3 linked regions of the Diceros bicornis minor genome follow. The protein of the gene in region 1 purifies or fractionates together with the protein of each later gene. This does not show direct contact. Links are inferred from orthologs where the notes say so. Each region holds a gene or a part of one and is shown in the gene's direction. Other genes may lie near its edges. The genes, in order: RICTOR, MLST8 and PRR5L.

Region 1 (7,975 bases):
AAAACAATTTGTCGACAAAATTAAAATGCAGTCCCACTGGTCAACCAAAATACAAAAAGGAAAAGAAAAAACAACTAAAGAATTAAAGAAAAAGGTATTTGAACAAATAGGCATTAGGAAAGCTTTGCTGTGCAGTTGGATGGAAGCATAAATGCACCTACACTTGTCTTAGTTTGTGGTGTTTGCTAAATTCTTTTCATAATGAAATATACAAATAACTACTCTTTTTCTGCGCCACCAAAGTAAGGATGTACCAAAGAACAAGTATCCTTATCAGTAAACGACTTCCTTAATAAAAGCAATGTTTTGTGAAAAATTGATGAAGTAGTTGCTATAAAAATTTAAGAGATTCACATAAGAATATAGTACTACTCGTGATAATTTTCTATAATAAAGAACTTTAAAATACAGTTTAATTTTCACACACTTCAAATGAGAATGAGAGTGACTATGAAAAAATCTTTTGTACCATACAGATGTTTGATATGTATTTAGTGGCAAAGTGTTTTTCACGATGACTGGTGGCTTCTAGTAGCATGTTATCTATCAGGTATTTAAAAAGATATTAAATCTAACCTTTCCTTTCGAGGTGAATGTAATAACAATAACTAAGAAAGTTACTACTTTGCAAAAGACATTTGTGCTTAGGAAGAGAGCATTTAGAAAATAGATATTTGGAAACATTTGCAGAGTTCTGTTTGTTTTCCTGAAAACAATTAAAAATATAAATGTGTCACCTCTATAAATTTTTATATCTATACACTTAAAAATCAGGGAAACAGAGTTTTCTAACCTGCTTAAAATCTTTCCGATGAAGAGTTTTGAAACGATTTGTTAACAATTTCTAAATGTTACACCTTCCAGTTTGTTAGGACAATGGATTGACATTAGGGAAGATGGACATTTATCAGCCAAATTACATAAAAAACCTTTGTATAACTGATGGGTGGAATGTAAAAACGAGTGTTCTTGATCGATTTAGACACTGCAGCCACTAGAGTAGTTCTTCCATTTTTAACTTTGTGTTTTGTGAGGTTTCAGTTACTAAAACCCAGCATTCAAATAAACTCTTCTCAGAAGTGGACTTCTGAATTGCTGGATCACAAAGTATTCAACAGGAAATTTAAAAAATAATGAAGTGTATTCAGCCCCGTTGTTTTGATTTGCGCCATTAGTAAAGTAACACTAAAAATTATTTTCCATTACTTTGAACCATTGTTATTTCACTTTTATGTTCTATTTAACAAAAAAGTAAATGCACATGATTGGAGTATGCACACAAATGCTATTTTTTTTGATGATGAGATGCACAAATAATTTTGAGAGGTCCACTGCACAACAAATTATTATAATCCAGTGTTTATCATTGCGGTTTAGGATAGCCAACACAATTTCTCTCAAACGTTTTTTTAAAAAAAAATTTGCACGAGTAAAAATTTGTTTTAGAACAATTAAAATGAGAAAAAGAAAGGTAAAAATCACTCAAAATTCTACCAACCAAAGATAAATCACTGTTGAAATTTTAGTGCATACCCTTCTAGATTTTATTTTATGAATATACGTATCTTCTTCTTTTACAAACATAGGCCTATATTTCCTTTTACAACTGCTTTCACAGAGGGCCTTTATACCTTATAGAATTTTTAAAAATAAAATTTACATGAGATTTTGGGATAGAGATTAAAATTTACAGGAATAATACTAAGAGGCTACTTCCTGCTATAACCAAGGCTGAATCTTCATAATCAACCTTGTGTAGGATTATAACATTTGTTTCATTTAGTTCATTGCCTGTCATTTTAATCGCCTTTATCTAGATGTTAAATGTGTGGTTTAGCTATGACGAGAAATTACTAAAAAATAGACTGACCAAATGTTGTGGTTTTCAACTTGCTTTATCTTCACATGGCCTATGTAATTAGGCAGATAGATAAAGGGAACTAAGATTTTTGGCAAGGCTTTGTTTCTGTTAACATTACCACTGTATCTGAAACTGATAAAATTTGGTTTATAAACTAGAATTACTGTGTGCAATAGGATAGAAAATAGAACATAGAGAGTGACTCTTCACGAAAGTCATTTTATCTTCAGAATGGAACAGTCATTTCTTAGAGGTGTGGTTCTGGACCCAATCTCAATAACATTTTTTATCAATGACTAATACTATGAGAAATTCACACAGCAAATGAAACCTAGTTGGGAAATGAAAACTAAAAAGAGGAAGTCACATTCTCAATGACCAGATTAGAATCAAAATGACCCGGAAAATTGAAGAAGTAATAAGAAATAAACAAAATGAGTAAGACATAGGGGTGGGCTAAAATAAACAAGGAAGAAAAATAAGTTTCAAAAAGAGGAATGGCTAGCTATTGGCAAGTACAGAAGATAACTTAGGGGTTTTAACAAATAACAAGCTGACCAGGATCAATAATGTATTGTTTAAAAACCAAACACAGGATTATGAAATGTATTCCTTACTAAAATTTACCTAAACTCCTGCTTCCTAGTTGAGTGTCATTTGCAAACACTAAGAACTTGTTCTTTTTACCAGGAATGCCATTCACCTTAAGAACAAATGTGGAAAACACAGCCACTCAAATGACTGACACAGTAACAGAGGAAAAACTAGTTCCATTGTACAACTGGAGAAAGATAACTTTTTTCTCCGGGAAGAGATGGAGTAACTGAATAATGATCTTTAAAAAGGAACATACAGTTATAAAGATGCAAGGCTATTAGATTCAGGCTCTCATGTACCCTAAGTAATTTACAAGTGGATCAGTTGTATTCACTTTCATGAAAGACTGAAAGAGAAAATGAAAAGAGAAAATTGTATTAGGAAGGAGTTCATTTAGAACAGATAAGGATTAAAAAATAGGATAGAAAGAGTTGATTGAAAATTGGAACAATTCTAAGACTCTAGTAGAACTTCCATTGATAGATTTCTGCTTTTCTAAACTGGGGGAATGTGATACGTGGAGGGATGAAATACAAAATTTTTAATGTCCTAGCCAGACTTCAAATTTTGTGATTTTTGTCTTAGGCTGTAACTAGAATAAATAATTTGCACTGAGACTTAAAAGCTACAAAAAGGGAAGCAAGTTTGTTGTTATTAAAATTACTACTGGTAATGTCAGGAGACATTTTTAAAAAGTACTCTGAGCAGCATGCTTGAATCTAAGTGCAATATCAGCAGCAGGTACCTGATTGCAGACCCAGTAGAAAAGGACCTGGAGTATACAGAGGGTAGTATCCTAAGGAAGCAGTGTTCCTCTTTTATTTTTGTAATGATGCTACTCTATGCTGCTTTTATTTTTCTTTTTAAAACTTTTACTTATTTTACCATAGATATATATTAAATATAGGACATTTAAAAGCAAACAAGAACAAAAAACCTTACCTGTAATCCTACAACTGAACGGAACAGAATTAGTTAATATTTTGATGTATATCTTCTCAGACTTTTTTCTACATACACAGACATGTAAAACATTTTCTCAAGTATACTTTTAATTTGATATGTATCTTAAACGTTTACAAAAAAGGGTTGATTTAATATCATGAACATTATTTCCTATAAATATACTAGACCTACACCATCATTTTTAATGGCTGCAATAATGTGCATAATCCCTACCTTTGGTCATTTAAGTGTTTCCAATCGTTCACTATTATTAACGACTGCAATTGGTATCTCCAATATTGCTTTTTAAATTTTTTTACATCAAAAAGAGCGTTGGAACAAAGAAGGAATCCAGGGGATTTACTCATCCGATTATTTATTGAACACTTATTTGTGCTGGGAGCTGGGAAAAGAGAGGTTGTTAAGGCAAGATCCCACTGTTAATGAATTTCCAGTCTCATGGAATAGAAAGACAAAAGTTGAGGGATAAAAGGCGACAAAACGCTCAACCTCTCTTTACAGTTAATCTAGTAAGAGAAAGTTGCTGGGTCAAGGGCCAGTTACACATATATTAATTAGCTATAGCAGTTTCTAGAATTAAAATCTCTACAGTTAACAACAGTTAGGCTTATGTATAAAAAATACGAATCCACAACTTTTACATTAGCTACTGTTCTAGGAGCTAGAAAACAGCCCTCACAGCAGCCTCTCCTTGGTTCCAGGCAGAGAGGAAACCCTCTCCCTGGGCCTCCCGGCGCCCGCGCGTGCGCGGGAAGAATCCCACCCAGCGCCCGGGACGACCACCCTGCGCTCGGGCTTTTACATCCTCTTCTCCCGTCCTGCGCCCGGCGGTCAAAAACAAAACTTACAACCAGCCACTTCCACTCAGAGGATCCCTCCTGGCTCAGTGTGGCTTGGAAGATCAAGTGCAAAGCTGCTTAGTATGGGGGACAGAGCGACGGTGGAAAACTAACTTTGTTACGTGTTAACTTGGTTGGAGCAAAGCGACTCTAGGAAGGGATTTGTTGCATTAAAACTGTGCGGAGCGTTTTTGTTTTTTTAATAAAAATCGTTTTAATTGATGAATAAGGAAGGGAGACTGTCTATCTCAGGGCTTGAAAGCAAGCAGGAGAATCATGCAGGATGGTTTCAGCAGGTGGCCCGCCGGCCGCATCCCGATCCCCTTCCAGCTCGCCTCGGTTTTGACTATGGTTTCCGCGGCCGCTGGAGGGGAAGCATCCTCCACGCTGCAAACTCGCATCAATGGGATTCCCCTCGTGGGAAATGCCCCCCTCCCGCAGACGTGCTCTCAGAGGGCCGGGCACATCGCCGCGCCCTCCGGCTCCTAGACTGTTGGGCACCCGCACCGCGAGCTCCACTGAGACCCCAGGTCGGCACAACGCTCCCTCCAGTCCCAGGCAGAGCCAGCACCGCCCGCCGCCGCCGCCGCCGCGGAGGGGCGGGGGAGATGCCGCGGGGGGCGGGCGCGGCGCGCGGGGAGGGGAAGGGGTTCTCGCGCGATTGGGCGAGGTTTCCGGTGTTGTGACTGAAACCCGTCAATATGGCGGCGATCGGCCGCGGCCGCTCGCTGAAGAACCTCCGAATACGAGGTAAGCCCGCTGCATCCCTCACCCCCCACCGCCCGGCGCCAGCCACCCCTGGCACTTGCCTCCCCCTGGCCCTGGGCGGGGGGAGCGAGCCGGGGCGCTGGCTGGAGCCGGGGCTGCAGCCGCTGGCCTGCGAGCGAATCCTAATTGGGGCTGTGTGTCTGTTTCGCGCAGGGCGGAATGACAGCGGCGAGGAGAACGTCCCGCTGGATCTGACCCGAGGTAACGCGGGGCGCCGGCGAGGGCGCGCGCCGGGGGGGAGCCGGGGTCTGGGGGCCGTGGGCAGGGGCGGGTCCCGCTCGGGACCGGCTGGGGTGCGGGAGGCAGAGCCCGAGCCCCGCCTGCCGGCCCGCGGGAGCCAAGCCCGGGGCCGCCTCCCCGGACCCATCCCCCTTCTCGGTGCCCGCTTCTCTCACCCCGAGCCCTGCTCCGGGCCTCTGGGGGCTGCGGGGGCCGGCGAGCACCGAGCGGGACTCGGCGACCCTCTGGGTTCCCTGGACCCTCGAGGGAGCGTTTTGCTCCTATCCCGGGGCTCGTGCAGCCGAATCCTAGGGGCGGCCGGAGGGAGGTAGAGGCTGCTACTTAGGTTGCCGGAGGATGTCTGCGGGAAGAGCGACCACATCCTGCCCTCCCCGGCCCCCGGAGCAGAAGCCGGACCTGCTCGGTTCTTGTTGCCTGCGTGACTGCTTCTCTCTTTGCCCACCGCCCTGGGGAACCCGCAGCCTTGATCACTCGGTAGTGAAACCATACTGCTGAGTGTCTGGTTTACGCCGTATTTCCCTCCGGTTTCCCTTTCCCGGGCCGCTGGGACTGTAGTTGGCAAAGACCGCCCCCTCACCCTCGCTGCAGGTTCATTGTTTACCTTCTGCAGTGGCGATGGGTTTGTTTACACCTTCGCAACTGGGTAAACCCCGGTTATATTTTTAAGACTTAATTCGGCCACTGGCCACTGTATCTTCGATCAGTCCCTGGAGTTCATTCGACAACATCTCTCTGAAGATTCAGTAGTTATATACAAGGTTTTGCTTTTCTCTTCCACGGTAAACAGGATTTGGTCTACTGATTCCGAAGAAGTCATATTTCACACAGGCTGTAGCTTCGAGTGTAACCTAGTTCAGCCGTACAGAATCAGTTTCCTTTTTGAGATCTGAAAAACACTTTAGGAAGTTAAGAAAAGTCTTTGTAAACATTCTATATAAAATGAAAAAACATTTTTTTAACCTGTGTTGCACTTGCCAGTTATTGTCTATGGTGTTTGTCAGACGCAGGCTCCTTGTTGAGAGGCTCATCTCTGTGTTTAGAGCATAGTGCATTCTGTAATTTGTTTTATTTTGTATATCATAATGTAAGATTACTGTTTTTATAAACTAAAAGGCTAGTTTTCATTTAGCTACGAGAGTACATTTTGTAACAGTATGTTCTGAAAGTTCAGGGACTTAGTTTTGAGTGAACTGGCTCCTTTTACAGGCAGAAGAGTTTCTAAAACATAATAGGGCTTAAGTAATAGAAATGGCAACTAAATAGATCACTAACGCACTAAATTGGAACATTTTTTTCAGCAGATGGGGTTTGAATATTAGTATAGAAAGATGTAAAGCTTTTGACTTGTGTAAGCTCAGAAACTTGACTAGATATAACAGATATGAAAAATCTGTGTAAAATATATGGGAAAAGATTTTCTAGTAAATTTCCTAACAAAGTAAGCAAAATTCCCACAGGGCTCAAAATTAGCATTGAGTTCTGTAAGGGATGTAGTTTATTAGTGATTTAATTTATCTCTGAGCATATGTGTTTTAGAGGTGAAAAGAGCATTTATTAGATCTTGAGTCTAATTCATGCCTTAAAAACCTGTTTGGATGTGATGCTAGAAGTAAGTTATAGTTGTGCTTTTAATTGAGACTGCTGAGGTCCTATATATAGTGGTTTCTCTGGTTGATGTAAAAATTTTGGGTTGTAAAAGAACTTATGTACAAATTAAATTTGATATTTTTGGTTTATTCCAATTTTACTCAAGTAATGCAGATAGTAAGCATACTATTTAAAATGCTGTATTTCCTGAGCTTTAACAAGGTGTTTCTAGGATAATACCAAAAGTATAGTAAGTGCTGTTTCTTCTTACCCTGACAAAATGTTCTTCAGTTTGGAATAAAATATACACAGCCAATTGAAACTGATTGCAAAAGCACTATACAACTAAGAATGAGAGGTTATGTGAGAACTGTATTCCTAAATCCTAGAGAAGTTTAGGATAAAAAAAGTAACCTGAGTTAGATTAATCATATAGTGACGCTATTGTTTAAGAAATTGCTATTCTGACAAACATTTCATTGTTAAAAGAAGGCTTATGGATCTAACATAAAGAAAGTTCCTGAGGAATTAAACTTTAGTAATAATTTGAGAACTGTGGGGCAGTCTGGGTTGCAGCTGAAGGCAGCTGTTTGTGGATTGGATTACAGTATGTTTTAGATAAAATTTGGGTAACCAAAAATATATATTTTTAATACTAATGCAGTGTTTGCTCTCATTCTAATTGTTTTTATGTAACCTTTGAGAAATTCATTGTGTAGCCATTTAACAAAGTTCATTACAAAATAGAGGTCACAGTCATTGTAATTCCTAAAGGAGCCATCAATGTATTGTGAAAAGAAAGACTGTAAAGTGCAGTAGTTCTGGGTTGTGATTTGGGGCAAGTTATTTGACCTTGCTTTCTTCTTGGTTTCTTCATCTCAAAAAAAGAGGTAACTTCAAAGGGTTATTATGAATGTGAGAAGTAAATGACCTAGTGCTTAATTAAAGTACTCAGCACAGGACTTGTTACTTTGTGAGTAATGTTAAATAAATGTTAGTTGCCTTCCTACACTGTGAAATCAAAATTATTTATATCACATTTCAAATGTGATAAATATTTACATCAAATATTGCAAATATTTCAAATGATTGTTTTAAATATTATAAACTTGTTAAT
Region 2 (7,558 bases), on another chromosome or scaffold:
TCAACAAATAGCTTCTGTGGGTCTTGGGGTATTCTTGGGTCTCCCTACCTGGCCTGTCTGCGTACTGACTATTTTATTCATCTTTGCATCTGCAGAGCCCAGCAGTGTGCCTGGCACACAGGAAGCACTACAAAAAATAAAAATAAAAAGATAGCTCTCACCCTTAGCATTATTTTTATGTTTTGGCTGGCTAAGGCAAACCACTCTGGCCTGAGCCGAATTGCAGGATTTGGGGCAAAGGTACAAACAGAGGCCCAGACTCCAAAAGTCTAAATATTTAAACGTTATAAATCAGCCTAATAATCTGTTAAATAAAATATGTTCTATCCTCCTACCTTGACAAATGTACCTTCATCATGACCTGAAAGGCCAAGTTCTAACTGAGAATTCTCGGATTCCTCTGGGTAATGAACTGGCCCCTGCCTGCAGCCACCCCACCTCCATTCTCTGCCCAGCTCCAGCTCCACCTATACCCCACAAACAGGCACCCCTTAGTCACTCTCAGACTTCAGGAGGACAGATCTGGGAAGAGAGTTGTACAGATTCTGCTGGATTCACCCTGCTAGGTGAGGCTACTGCCCAAAGAGGGGTCAGGAAGTCCTAGATCTGCTACTGACCATCCCAGCAACCTCGGACAAGCTCCCAACACCCAGCTGCCTCATCTGTAAAATGGGCCAGCAGCTCTGCCTGCGGTATAGGGCTGACGGGAGGGTATACATGAAAACAGAGATGTGAGTCTGCCTTGGGTTCCCCCAGCCTGGGGATGGGGGCGGCACAGCAGGCCACTAGGGGATGAGGATGCAGAAGTGTGGGACTTGGGCAGCCCTCCAGGAAGCCAGGACTCCGAGGACGATCCCAGGAGGAGGGGCCGCTGAGGCAGCAGAATTGCTGAGGCTCAGCCTGGAGTAGAGCTGGCGGTCGCTTCACTGCAACTTGGCTGGCCCCCTTCCCAGCTGCATGGCAGCCTCCACCAGCAGCACAGCTCCTTCCCACCAGCTGTGCGCCTGCTCAGGCGTTCCTGGTGCCCCTCCAGCGCCCCCCCCCCCCAGCCGTGGTGCCTGGCCCCTTATGTATGAAAAGGGAATGACAAACATACCCCCCCATGGGCTGCTGGGAGCACGCGGCATATGTTAGCTGCCATGGTTTCTCTCATTCTCATAGGGACCACCTCTCTAAAGCGCTCAGCTGGTGCTTGGCACATAAGAGGGGATCAACAACCATGCGTCCTGTTCCCCACTTCCTGCCCAGCAGAGATGATGCTGGAGCTGCCCAAGCTGGGTGGGGAGCCTGGTCCCGCCTGCTAGTTACCCTTAGGCATGGGACGTGAGTAGCCCCCAGGCTCCACCTAGAGCCCCCTACAGAAAAGGCAAACAGTTCAAGGCCTGTTCCCTGGGTCACAGGTGGGACCCCACAGACATGTGGCCAAGTCTTCCAGCCTTCCCGGCCCCACCCCTCTCTCCTGCTCGCAGGGTCTTTGGCAGGTTATCCTGCTCCAGACATCCTTCAGGTGCTAGGTTCACAGGGCTCTTTCCTCCCAGCCTTCCAAGCCCATGTCTTCATTTGCCACTCCCAGAGCTGCCCTGAGCCTGGCGGAGCTGCTCTGGGGAATTTTAGAGAGGAAGACAGGGAGGAGATACGAGGTTTGGGGCTGCCCAGGGAGTTGTCACCTCAGCCAGAAAGGGTGAGATCAGGGGAGAGCTGAGCCCAGCAGGATGGGTCCTGTCGTGTTCCAGCTGTGTGCCCTTGGACACACGACTCTAGATTTCTGAGCCTCAGCTTTCTCGTCTCCAAAATGGGGGTGGTTTTTCCTCGGCAGAGCCATTGTAAAGACCAGATGCATAATGTAGGTACAATGCTCAGCACGGTTTGGCGGTTCCTCAAAAAGTTAAACATAGAGTTACCATGTGACCCAGAAATTCCACTCTTAGTATACAGAGAAATGAAAACATGTACTCAAAAAGATACTTGTATAGGAATTTTTACAGCAGCATTATTGTGATAGCTAAAAAGTGGAAACAACTCAAGTGTCCATCAGCTAATGAATGGATAAACAAAATGTGGTCCATTCACACAATGGGATACTATTCAGCCATAAAAAGGAATGAAGTACTGAGATATGTTACAACCTGGAAGAACGTCGAAAACATTTATGCTTAGTGAAAGAAGCCAGACACAAAGACCATATATCGTATGATTCCATTTATATGAAATATCCAGAACAGGCAAATCCACAGAGACAGAAAGCAGATTGGTGGTTGCCAGGGGCTGGGGTCTTGAGAGGGGAGCAGGGGTGGAAAGTAACTGCATAATGAGTACGGGGTTTCCTTTTGGGGTGATGAAAACTTCTGGAACTAGATAGAGGTGGTGGTTGCACAATATTGTGAAGGTACTAAGTGCCACTGAATTGTTTACTTTAAAAAGGTTAATTTCATATTATGTGAATCTCACCTCAACAATTAAAACAAAAATATCAGCATAACACCTCACACAGAATAAGCCCTCAAAATGCTATGAAAAGTTTTGAAAACCAAGAGTTCATCAGATAAAGAGGCAGAAGGGAAAGCATCCTAGGAGCAGGCAAGGGTTCAAAGGGGAGTGTGTGGTGGCGAATTCTGAGGCTGTTGTCCACTCGGGCCGGATGCAGCACATGGCCTATAGAGCAGAAAGAGAAAGTCGCAGGGTCAGCAGGTGCCAGGCCCAGGAGTCTGGAAAGTGAGAGGGGACCCCTGAAGGCTTCTAACAGGGGTCAGACTTAGGTTTTTAAAAGACCACTCTGCAATGTGAAGGACAGCCTGGAGTGGGGCCAAAGTGGGTGTGGGGAGGGAGGTCAGGAGGCTGTCATGGGAGAGGGGTCACAGCTAGCTGTAACACACGGTGGGCACTGACACGCAGAAGAGAAAGCCCCAGGGGCCGGCCTGCTGGCGCAGCAGTTAAGTTTATGCGCTCCACTTTGGCGGCCCAGGGTTCGCAGGTTCGGATCCCGGGTGCAGACCGACACACCGCTTGTCAAGCCATGCTATGGCAGTGTCCCATATAAAGTAGAGGAAGATGAGCACGGATGTTAGCCCAGGGCTGATCTTCCTCAGCAAAAGGAGGAGGATTGGCATGGAAGTTAGCTCAGGGCTAATCTTCCTCACAAAAAAAAAAAAAAGAAGAAGAAGAAGGGGAAGCCCTTTGGTCTATGATAAATCCACGGAAAGTGGAAGTGTCCGTGGGGCCTTCGAGGGAGAATGTCTAACAGGGAGCTGGATCTGAGCTGGACACAGGATGGAAAGGCCTGGGGCAGGCATGGTATTGGAAGCCCTGGAGAGTGAACTAGAGCTCCCGGGGACAGTGTGGCAGTGCAGAGACAAGAACTCTGGAGGGCACTAGCCTTTAGGGGGAGGCAGAGACAGAGACCGAGTGCCAGTGCGAGAAGCTAGGTGATGGCAGCTTTTCAGGAGCAGAGCTGTCAAACACTGGGCAGACGTGTCAAGATGCAGAAGGAAAAGTATCCACTGAGTTTGGCAGTGTGAGATGGCCAGTGATCTTGTGACATTTTCATTGGAGAGCTGGGGTCAAAGACACGACAGCGGGTAGAGGAGTGAGTGGGAAGTGAGGACATGGAGCCAGCAAGGCAGTGAGGATGGCTCTTTGAAGGAGAGAGTGCCTGCTGGAAGGAGTTTTGGGTTGTTTTACGGTGTTTAAAGGCTGAGGTGAAGGAAGGAGGGGAGGTGGGAAAGGTACAGGAAAGAAGGTTCCTGGGACCCAGGGCCCGGAGGGATGGGCGGGGGACATGGCCTTGGTCCACGGGCCAGAGGAAGGAAGGGGGGTGTGCAGCTACATTCCACGGTGCAAGGACACCGCGGGAGAGCCTGTCTCAAGGACTCTATTGTCCTGTGAAAGAGGGTGAGGCCATGCGTGTGGTGTGTGGGAAGGCTGGAATGGATAAGGGGGTATGAGGGACCCCAATTTTGGAGGGGTCACTGAGCTGAGTGGGGGGACCCGAGGGTCAGGCCGGCCAGGGCTGGACAGGCTTGAAAAGAGAGCCCGAACTAGGGTTGCCTGATCTAGCAAATAAAACCACAGGAAGTCTAGTTACATTTGATTTTCGTGTAGGCAACAAATAACTTGTTAGTGTAAGTATATCCCATGCAATATTCGGGATATGCTTAAACAAACAAAAAAAATTATTACTTATCTGAAGTTTACCTGCTATTTAACCTAGTTAAATTATCTGTAATTTACCTGGGAATCCTAGCCTGGCGTGGGGAGTAGGGGACTGAGGGAAGGGAGGGGATGGCGCCACCCCGTCTCGGGATCCAAGTCTGGAAATGGGTAGCCGTGTCAGAAAGGTGGGGTGCCTGAATGGGGAGAAGGCTGGGGCCGCCAGGCACCCCGCAGGCCTCTACTGGTTCTTCCAGGGCGAGAGGGGCCCCCTGCCCCAGAACTTTGGTCTCGTCCCACTCACCCCCCTACGCCGCGTGGTGTCGCCCTAATGTCCCATCGATAACTCTACGCTCGGCCTCGGCCTCTATCGATTCGCTCCGGCTCCTCTCGCCGTCCTGGACCGCGGCGGAGTGTGGAGCCGCATGTAAGGTACGGAGGCCGCGGGACGAGGGCCGGAAAGCGGCTGCCGGTGGCCGGAAGACCGCGCCCGGGGTAAGCTGGCCCAGCGGGACGGAGCCAGGGCGGTCGGCGGAACACCAGGGAGCTCGAGGGTCCAGCCAGAGAACGCCCCCTCCCATCAAGTCCAGCCGCTGGCCTGCTACGCATGCGCAACCGCACCGCTCTGCTTGCCTCTCGGGCCCGTCCGCCGCCCTGCGCACGCGCGGCCCGCCCCTGCGGCAGAGCGGCGCCCCGGGCGTGACTGCCCCCTGCCGGCCGCGGGTGGGGTGGCTCCCGGCCCGGTCCGTGGGGCGGGGAACGGAGCATGCGCCTTGGAGCTCGGAGCTGTCCCTCGCCGGTTGTCACGCGTCCCTAAACTTCTCTGAACCTCAGTTTCCTCATCTAAAATGAGAGTGATAATACCTATCCCTCAGCATCTAGTGGACCTGTAATCTACTTAGGATATAGAGGATATTCCCTAAATACTGCACGCCTCTCTCCTCCAGATGCTCTGACCTCTCACCCCTTGTAGGTCATATCTCGGGCCCTGTGCAGGCCCGGGTTTTCCAAGCAGTCGCACCATGAACACATCCCCAGGCACGGTGGGCAGTGACCCGGTCATCTTGGCCACAGCGGGCTATGACCACACGGTGCGGTTCTGGCAGGCCCACAGCGGGATCTGCACCCGTACAGTGCAGCACCAGGACTCCGTATCCTCCACTAGGGGGTGGGAAGGGTGGTGCTGGGCAGGACGCGTGGTGCGGATAACAGCCTGGGCAAAGGCCTGAGGTGGGAAGGATGCAGCAGCTGAGCCCGATGTTGGAGGCCTCGAGGGCCTTGGCCCCAGGACTCTGTTCGTTACCCTCCTTGACAGACCCAGCAGGTGAACGCGCTCGAGATCACGCCTGACCGCAGCATGATTGCTGCTGCAGGTACCTGTGCCCTCGACCCCAACCCCTGATCTCTGGTGGTGGATCTAGGCACAGCCCAACTTCAGTTTGACCTGTGCCCCTAGGTTACCAGCACATTCGCATGTATGATCTCAACTCCAATAACCCCAACCCCATCATCAGCTATGATGGGGTTAACAAGAATATCGCATCTGTGGGCTTCCATGAGGATGGCCGCTGGATGTACACGGGTGGAGAGGACTGCACCGCCCGGATCTGGGACCTCAGGTGTGGGGTGCTGGGCAGGGAGGGCCTGCTGCCTTGGTATGGTCATGAGGGCCAGGCCGGGAAGGAGACTGTGTTAGGTAGGTCCCCTCTAGGCAGAGGCTGAGATGGGGTTTTCTGTGTGGGTGATTTATTGAGGAAATCAGGATAGGGCTTTGTGTGGTGAAGCCACACAAAGGCGAGTCCAGCCTCAGCTTGATCCCACAGGGAGCTCTGGCGAGTGAATTGTATCCGAGAGTGAGTCCCACCTTGAGGCAAGGGGCTGGCCTTTATGCCCCTTCTGAGCCAGTCACTGGCTTCAGGCTGCCCCTGGGGAGGGCCGAACCTCCCAGATATTTCCTCTGAGGCAGCTCCCATCAGCAGAGGAACAAGGATAAATGGCCAAGGAAAGGGCATCTGGGTGGGGCACCAACAGAAGGTGTATATCCCCCACCCGAAGATCCCGGAACCTGCAGTGTCAGCGGATCTTCCAGGTGAATGCGCCCATTAACTGCGTGTGCCTGCATCCCAACCAGGTGAGGGCTGTGCACAGGGCTGGGCACCCTGGGGTTCTGGAGGGCAGGGGTTCTGCCCCACCTCACCTCCCCTGCACCCCAGGCAGAACTCATTGTGGGGGACCAGAGCGGCGCCATCCACATCTGGGACTTGAAGACTGACCACAACGAGCAGCTGATCCCCGAGCCCGAGGTCTCCATCACATCTGCCCACATCGACCCTGACGCCAGCTACATGGCAGCAGTCAATAGCGCTGTGAGTCCTGGGGTGGGTGCAGTGGGGGAGGCCAGCTTAGCAGCACCCAGCCCCTGATCTCCCTTATTCCCTGCAGGTGGGCTTACTCCCCAGATGTCCTTCAGACCCCTCCTCCCCCTTCCCCTCCCAGTCCTGCTTCCCTCTCCTGGGCTCCAGCTCCAACCCAACCACCAAAGCCAGAAACCTGGGTGTTGCTCCTGACGCCGCCTCTCACTACCTGCCGTAGCGCATCCAGCAGGCTGGTCACTTCCATCTCCAGAATCTCTCAAGTCTGTCCACTTCCCTCCTTCCTCCCTGTTGCCTCCTGGTCCGGGTTTCCCTTGTCTCCCCCGACAGCAGCTGCAGCTTCTCTCTAACCCCCCTCCCTCCTTTCAGACCTCCCCTTTGCCCCCGATCCATTCTCCCTGTGCCGCCAGAGCATCCTTCAGCAGTACCAGCCTGATTGCACTGTCCCCCTGCATACACCCACTGTGCCCCTGGCTCTTTACCATGGCCTCAGGATGCTGCAGTTTGGCCACTGATCTCCTACCCAGCCTCATTTTCTCCCTTTAACGTCCATTAAATCTCAGCGAGTCACTTGTCCCACAATGTCCCTAGACTGCCCTCCTCTGAGCCTTTGCCCTCCTGGTCTCTCTCTCTGGGGTGCCTCCTCCCACCTCGGTCCTCACATTCCCTTTGGCCAGCAGCATCTTCCAGGAAGGCCAAGTGTGGCCTCCTGTTCTTGGCCCTCCAGGTATGGCTCTTGGTTGGGCCAGGCCTCCCAGGTGCTCCCTGCAGGCAGGACCAGATGTGCCTGCCACATGTCCCTAGCCCCCAGATCCTTGTGCACAGCCACAGTATTGGATGGCAGCCCCTGGATCTGCATCTAGCTGCTAGGACATCCTTCCCTATGTGTCAGGCTGGAGGCTCCAGGCCTCCCATAACTTCCTTTCTACCTCGCAGGGGAATTGCTATGTCTGGAATCTGACCGGGGGCATTGGTGATGAGGTGACACAGCTCATCCCCAAGACCAAGATCCCAGCGCACACTCGCTATGCCCTGCAGTG
Region 3 (6,934 bases), on another chromosome or scaffold:
CACACCTCTTGTATACCAGATTATTAAGACATTAAATGCTACGGTTCTGTAAATTGAAATGATTTTAACTATTATTCAGAAGTGGAGGCAGCTAATCAGCCCAAAAGGGAGTGGAGTGTAGTACATGAGCACTGAATTGGCCTCAGGGATCCCTGCCCTGTCCTCTCCCGCTTGTGTCTAACTTTGGGCAAGTCACCTAACCCCTCCTGAACTTGGTGTGATTAGGCTTTTGGGGTAGGCAGGAGCAGTGGTGATGGGGTGGGCAGGCAGTGTCCTGGGAACAAAGGAAAAGTAGAATAAGAGGCCTCTGGGAGAGCAGGAGCTGGATGGTGGGTGATCCCAAGGCAGCCCCAGGGAGGCCTCCCCTACTCCCTGTCTTGATGTCCACTTGCCTCCATAGCTACCCCATATCTTCCTTTACCTCAGGAGCGTTCACATTTTGCGATTCCAAGCAAGGTTTTGTTTAAAAAATGCATTCTCTTGCCAGAGAAAAAAAGGTTTGAAGCCATGCCATTCTCTTGCATAATTCCTGCTTACTCAGAGCTCCGGCCCCTTCGAACTCCGCGCCAGCATCCTTCTCTCACCACATCAGGGGTGGCGGGAGCGGGTGAAGCAGGCTGGGAACAAGAGGAGCAGGGAGTAGGGAGTGGCTGGGACTGTGGCAGACTGGAAACTGTGCCCTGTCTGCAGGAGACAGAAACACCGTGGCACCAGTTAATCGTGGCCGTGCAGGCTGGCGGCATATCAATGCCTGGTCTTCCAGATTTTTCAAGGCAAGCTGTAAATCCACATTTTTGCCTGAAGTTTTCTGATTTTTACACATTGGTGAGTAATTTAAAAAATGTTGACACCATGGGGTTCAAACAATATGCATCTAATATACATCTAGCTGGTCCACAAGCAGCCAATCTGCAGCTTCTAGAATCTAGAGTTCAGATAAAGTCATGACCTTTCAGCTTTTGTTCTGCATACTAGCTGTGCGTGTTGTGTGTGTGTGTGTTCACAGTCCTGAAATGGAATCTGATTGGCCCAGTGTAACTTTTTGGGGCCAGAATTTGTCACAGAACAAATCTGTGGATTAGCTGCATTTGGGTCAGGTGCCCGCCCTTGGTCTTAGAGGGGCTGCCTAAGGCCTACCCTTTCAGCAAGGGTCTTGATTGAACCAACTTTCATTTCAGAGGCTGTGGCCATGGCAAGCTGTGTACCTGATCGGTCTAATAAAGACATAGAATTTCCTCCTCCTCCAAATGAGTGTTTAAATAGAATGATTTGTATTGGTTTCTCCTAACAAAATTCTGTTTATTATAAGAAAAGGCAATGTTCCACCGACATTTATAATTTCAGTAAAAGTTTGGGTGGTGTTAAGTATAATATATTGGTATGAATGGTACTTAGAGAAAGCTCTGATTTACACCAACATGTTGGTTACTTCTCATTTTAAGAAAATTCTGTTTACAAAATTGGCAACTCTCAGGGTTAGAAGAGACGTTAACCTCTTTACACCTCCCTCCCAGTCCTGAATTCTCTTTTATGGCACCCCCACTAGACTGGCACCCACCTACACTGTACTACTTCTCTTTACCAGGGAGTGCACTTCTTCCAGAGGCAGCCTCTTTCCTCCTTGGACAGGCCTGGTGATTCAGTTTTTTTCTTATTGCACAGTGCCCAACCTACCATAGGCAGTCACTACAGCGTATATTTGCTAAACAACCCCATTCATGGATTCATTCCTGCGATATTTACTGGGTGCCTACTATGTGCGAGGCATTGTTCTAGGATCTTAGGCAGTATCAGTGAGCAGAACAAATCCACGTTCTTGGAGAGCTGATGTTCTAGCCTGGAAGGAGGAGGTGGTGGGAGAGAGACGTTAAATTTCTTTTAAAAAGTAAATCATGTAATATGTTACAAGGTGATAGAGGCAATGCAAAAAAGAAAAAGTAGAACGGAATGAGGGGGACTGGGAGGGAGGAGGGAGTTATAATTTTACAAAGACCGAATAGGCTAGGCCTCATTGAACAAACACTTGAAGGAGCTGAGGGAGTCAGCAATGCAGAATGAATGTTCCCAAATCGGTCTTCCTGCAGCCGTGCAGAAATAGCTCCCTTTTCACTGCCCAGCCCTGCAGGATAATAGTAGTAAGAATAATAGCTTAATATCTGTTGAATCCCAGCAGAGATTCTAAGCCCTTTCCCTGTATGAAGTCATTAAATACTCATCACAATCCTAAGACATAGCTACTACTTTTTAAATTTATATTTATTCAGTTTTTATTTTACAGAGGTCATATTGGCTTATAACACTGTAAACTTCAGGTGTACATTATTATATTTCAGCTTCTGTATAGACTGCATCGTGTTCACCATCAATAGTCTAGTTTCCATCTGTCACCAGACACATGTGCCCCTTCACCCCTTTCGCCCTCCCCCGACACCCTTCAGCTCTCATACTCACCAATCTGTTCTCCTTATCTCTGTTTATCTTCCATATGTGAGTGAAATCATACCGTATTTGTCTTTCTCTGCCTTATTTCACTTAGATAGCACTATGTTGCTCCCCATTTCACAGGAGTAAACTGAGGCATAGCACAGTTAACAGACTTGGCTAAGACGGGCAGCTAGTAAGAGGAGGAGGTGGTCTACAAACCTTGACCTACTGGCCCCAGGCTTTGGCTCTTAAATCCTCAGCAGAGTTGCCTTGAAGCCATCTCTCAAGTCCCCTCCCCACTCACTGCCCCCTCGAGCTTTTCTTTCCCAGGCACAGGCCTCAAACCTCCTCCCTTTCATTGCACTTGATTCCTGGGATGAGACTTAGTGTCTCTTCATCATCCTGGGGTTTGTGTTGAGAATACTTTAGCTTTATCTGAAGTGGGGCACTTTATCTAAGTGAGGCACCCAGAGCTCTATTAACTGCCCCCCCCAGCAGTCCTTACACAGGTTTTGTAAGGTCACAGTGACCAAAATAAAGACAAATTTTTTCTCAGTTTTGACATAAAAAGACACATACGTCTTTTCTTCAGCAAATGTCACTGTGGTTTCAAAGGCTAAGTGTGATGTGTGAGCCGGCAGCATTTTTAAAGTGTTTCCTGCTCAACCATAGGGTGAAACTACGCAAGCCAGTGAGTCCTGAAAACAGCTGCATCAAATTCTTAACACCTGCAAAAAAAAAAAAAAGTTTTGAAAATAATTTTACATTGTTTTTAATTTGGGGATTGGTTGGTTTTCTGTTGTTTCAAACTTTGAAGGACCCTCCAATTCACTAAACCTTCGGTTGGAGAGAGAACTTGGAAGCTTTAAAAGAGTTTTGCAAATCTAAGGGAGAGACTTCACCGGAATTATATTTTTATTAGTGCACTTAAAACAACTTCTCCTGAAATTGGCCTGGGGACTGTTCCTTCAAACAACAACGAAAGTCCCAGGCTCTAGTCCCCTAATGAGTCCTAGAATCAGCCCCTTGGCTTCTTGGTAGAGTTTCCCGTCGTGGGGGGACGAGGGGGGAGATCCCGTCGTGGAGAGGGGGCATCTCGTCCGTCCTGTGTGAGGGAAACACAGCACAGAGTTCCCTTGACCTGTTGCATCCTCCCCCGCTTTTCAAGTCAGAGCTGGATTTCCTGAAATTGTTGAACTGGATGTAAGTGCAGGCGCCCCCTCCCCCCACCACCCCCAACAGGGTGAGAGTTGCTGCAGGGGAGGAGTGGGATGGGGTGAGGTGGGGTAGGGTGGGGGCCATTGGAGAGAAACTAAAGCGATGAGCACAGGACAGGAAAAGTGGGAGGAGGAGGGGGAGGGGGAGGAGGGGGGAGGAGGCCGTAAGATGAGAGAGGAGGGAAACGTGTCACCAGCCCGGCCCCGGGAGCTCCGCGGCCGCCGCGTTGGTTGACTCCGCCGGGGAGGACCCGAGGCTGGAGCGGACCCCGCAGAGGGCAGAGCTGGGCAGAGCGGGCGGCGAGAGCCATCCAGGGCGCTCGTTTCTCTCCGGTGAGAAAACTTTCCCGGGAAGACCGGAAACTTTTTCCTGGGCGCGCGGAGGCGAGCTGCGAGTGTGCGCGACTCGAGGTGACTCAGCCCCGGGACCCCAAGGGGGTGACGGGGAAGTCCCCGGGAGGGGCTAGAGTCGCAGGCTCAGCAACGGCACAGAATTGGGAACAAAATCGCCGGGCACGACAGGCACAGTGCGGCGGGGCACAGGGAAGCGGGGCTTGGGGAAAGCGTCACATTTGGGGGCAACCAGGTGGGGACCCCCGCATGGTTGAGGATCGCCCCATCGATCGGAAGCTGCCGGCAGGCGTAGAGCACCGGACTAGCGCCCATCGTGGTGGGGAGGGGGGGAGCTGAGCCCGCGTCGGCGGCTTAGGGTGGGCGAGGGACCCCTGTGGGTGGGATGGGGGATGCCGCCGATCGTGGGACCCGGGCTGAGCCAGGAGATCGTAAAAGAAAGTTTGCTTGTTTGTGTCTCTCGTTCTCCCCCGGCCTGAGGGGCAAATCTAAAGTAAGCTGACCCACTCGGGCGCGGGCGACTCGGCGCCCCGAAACAGCTCATCTTTTCCTGCCGTCCCCTCTTTTCTGGAGGGAGCGTGGGAGGGGAGGGCAGGGAAGGCAGCCGCTTTGTCCCGCGCGCCGCTGGACGTGCGCGCTCCGCCGACTGGGGCGGGCCGGGCGCAGCCTGGGGAGACCGGCGGGCGGGCGGCTCTCCCGGCCAGCGGCATCCCCTTCCCGCTGCATCTTTCCCGCCCGCCCTCCATTTGGCGAGGCTTCCCAGCGCGCGTACTGTGCGCGCACGGCGTGCTCACTGCGCGCAGGGGGCGCTCTAGGCCCCCCGCCCCGGGGGCTCAGGCTCTCCCTTCCCAGCCCTCTGCCCCTTATCCTGTGGGCGCCCGCCCCTGGTCACACCGGGCTGTGTACTTGCAAACTGTGCTGCAGGAATTGGCTCCGGGGTGCCTCCCTGGTTGGCAGTAGGGTTTTCCCCCTGTTGTACCCAGCCCCTGCTCTCGGTCACATGCCGCCGCCTCTTCCCCCGCGGTGCCGGGAGCCCGCGTTTTGTTTGTCAGCAGTAAGGCGATGAGTATTTATAGACGCCACTGCAATCCTGCGGTATGCAAGGTTTCAATTACTGCGATGCGCCCCACAAGACGGAAGGCTCACGCGCCGCTGCTCAGCGGCACGTCTGCTCTGGGGACTCGCATGGAAAAAGCTCTGAGCTGGAGTCTCCGGGCATCCCTGCTGGGGCGGAGTTCTGGACCTGTTGCCCAGACGATACGTGCAAATTCAAGTGATCCACGCAGAGGACCAAAGCAGTCAAGGACGCCAACAGCCCTGATTGTCTCCGTCCTCTGACCCCCTCCCCCACCAAAGGGTGCGCGCTTGTCCAGACCCGGAGACTGCCCTTTCGGCCCTGGCGTTGGTGATCCTGGCCACCGTGGGTTGCAGTCATGACATTTCATTGCCCTACTTGCTGCAAAATGTCATAGTGCTGCGCTCTGGTAAATTGCTCTCGGGGTGGAAGGCACTGTTATTGACAACGCGAAGCAGCAAGTGGGTCAGGAGGGGAAATGGAGCTTGCAGAAACTGAGTTAGCCAAGTTTTAAATTTAGCCCTGGTGAGGTTCCCGTACGACCGACTGAGAAGGGCGCAGCGCTGCTCTCTGGGACCTGGCTGTCCGTCTTCTCTGGCTGCAGTACTGAGCCCTGGAATCCGGCCGAGGGTGCTCTCAGAGCATCTCCTGTAGAATGTAGCAGATAAGGGAAACAATGCTTAGTCAGTCCAAAAAGTAAGGGAAACTGCTTGGTGAGTCCACAAAGTCGTCTTCGGTTTTTCCAACCCCAACTATTGTCTTTTCAGTATTTTATTGATGCTTCTAACAGCTAGAACCATTAATAGTGTAACAAAAAAGAAAGATAGGCGTTAGAAATAAGCTAGTCTAACCAGCTTATTTCTCAAGGGCTTGGACTAGCTTGTTTCTCAATGAGGAGACCTTATTTCTTTCAGATCCGGAGGGTCATGGATGTATGTTTATTTCAACGGGTGAGATTTCAATAATGGTCTGTTTGAACATTACAAAAATATGCCCTTTATTTTAAAAAAGGGGAGGGGACAACCACCCCTCGAGGTCTCATTATGTCTTAAACTGTGCACCAAGAGACTTTGATAGTATTATATAATCTGCACCATAACATTGATGAGGTAGGTACTATTATATCTCCGTTATATAGCTGAGCCCACTGAGGGTTAGAGAACTTAGTTTGTCCACACACACACAGGGTGGAGCTGAGAATGGGTTCCAGCTCTGTTAAGGCAGGCTTGTAGTGCCAGCCTCTACTGGAGATGTCTTTCCCTTCCTCCCTCAGTTGTTGATGAGCTCATCTTATAGTTGATTAACTTGGTGCCTTCTTTCTTTTTTTTTGTTTTAATGTCACATAATATCACAGAGTGGCCCAATTATTGAAAAAAAATCCTAGTCTTGTCTTTAGAAATCTGTTACACTGCTACCTGAAAATTCCATGCTGGCAATCCAGACCTAAATGTCATAATCTGCAGTTTGTTCTTGACAATCTATGTGCAACATTTAAACCATTTATCTGTAGAAAATTGAATCCAGTCAGGACTTTGTGTATGTCTTCATTATTTCTCTATCCTAAGGTTTGTAGGTGTGCATGTGTATATTTCCTGTTGTCATTCCTTTTGTATTGTCTTGTACAAGGTAAAATGTACCGAAATATTTCTTGAATTGCAGCCTTTAAATCTTTTTTTGTAGAGCTAGACCAATACAGAATTGATTTGCGAAATAGAGTACAAGCCCCTCTGAAAGATCCCTACGTGTCATTAGAACCTTGTTCGGTAGAGTTGCCTCTCCATATGCAAAATGTAAATGCTTGTTAAAAGCAATGCTTATAGAATGTATCATTTGTTAAGAAGTCAGTGTGAATTAATATCTCAGTTGC

The links.
Region 2: the proteins of RICTOR (region 1) and MLST8 purify together in Homo sapiens (affinity purification with western blotting; 14 studies listed by BioGRID and IntAct, with this or other methods). This does not show direct contact. The link is inferred for Diceros bicornis minor from reciprocal best matches to the Homo sapiens genes RICTOR and MLST8.
Region 3: the proteins of RICTOR (region 1) and PRR5L purify together in Homo sapiens (affinity purification with western blotting; 3 studies listed by BioGRID and IntAct, with this or other methods). This does not show direct contact. The link is inferred for Diceros bicornis minor from reciprocal best matches to the Homo sapiens genes RICTOR and PRR5L.

The regions. Positions count from the first base shown.
Region 1 is NC_080759.1:30,472,354-30,480,328, forward strand, and holds the start of RICTOR (rapamycin-insensitive companion of mTOR), read left to right. Parts: upstream 1-4,959; 5' UTR 4,960-4,964; coding exon 4,965-5,013; intron 5,014-5,184; coding exon 5,185-5,232; intron 5,233-7,975. UniProt on the Homo sapiens protein: Component of the mechanistic target of rapamycin complex 2 (mTORC2), which transduces signals from growth factors to pathways involved in proliferation, cytoskeletal organization, lipogenesis and anabolic output.
Region 2 is NC_080765.1:46,214,355-46,221,912, reverse strand, and holds the start of MLST8 (target of rapamycin complex subunit LST8), read left to right. Parts: upstream 1-4,558; 5' UTR 4,559-4,641; intron 4,642-4,798; exon of another isoform or gene 4,799-5,093; 5' UTR 5,094-5,168; coding exon 5,169-5,297; intron 5,298-5,467; coding exon 5,468-5,519; intron 5,520-5,602; coding exon 5,603-5,765; intron 5,766-6,201; coding exon 6,202-6,277; intron 6,278-6,359; coding exon 6,360-6,512; intron 6,513-7,454; coding exon 7,455-7,558.
Region 3 is NC_080770.1:32,255,145-32,262,078, reverse strand, and holds the start of PRR5L (proline-rich protein 5-like), read left to right. Parts: upstream 1-3,836; 5' UTR 3,837-3,974; exon of another isoform or gene 3,975-4,052; intron 4,053-6,934. UniProt on the Homo sapiens protein: Associates with the mTORC2 complex that regulates cellular processes including survival and organization of the cytoskeleton.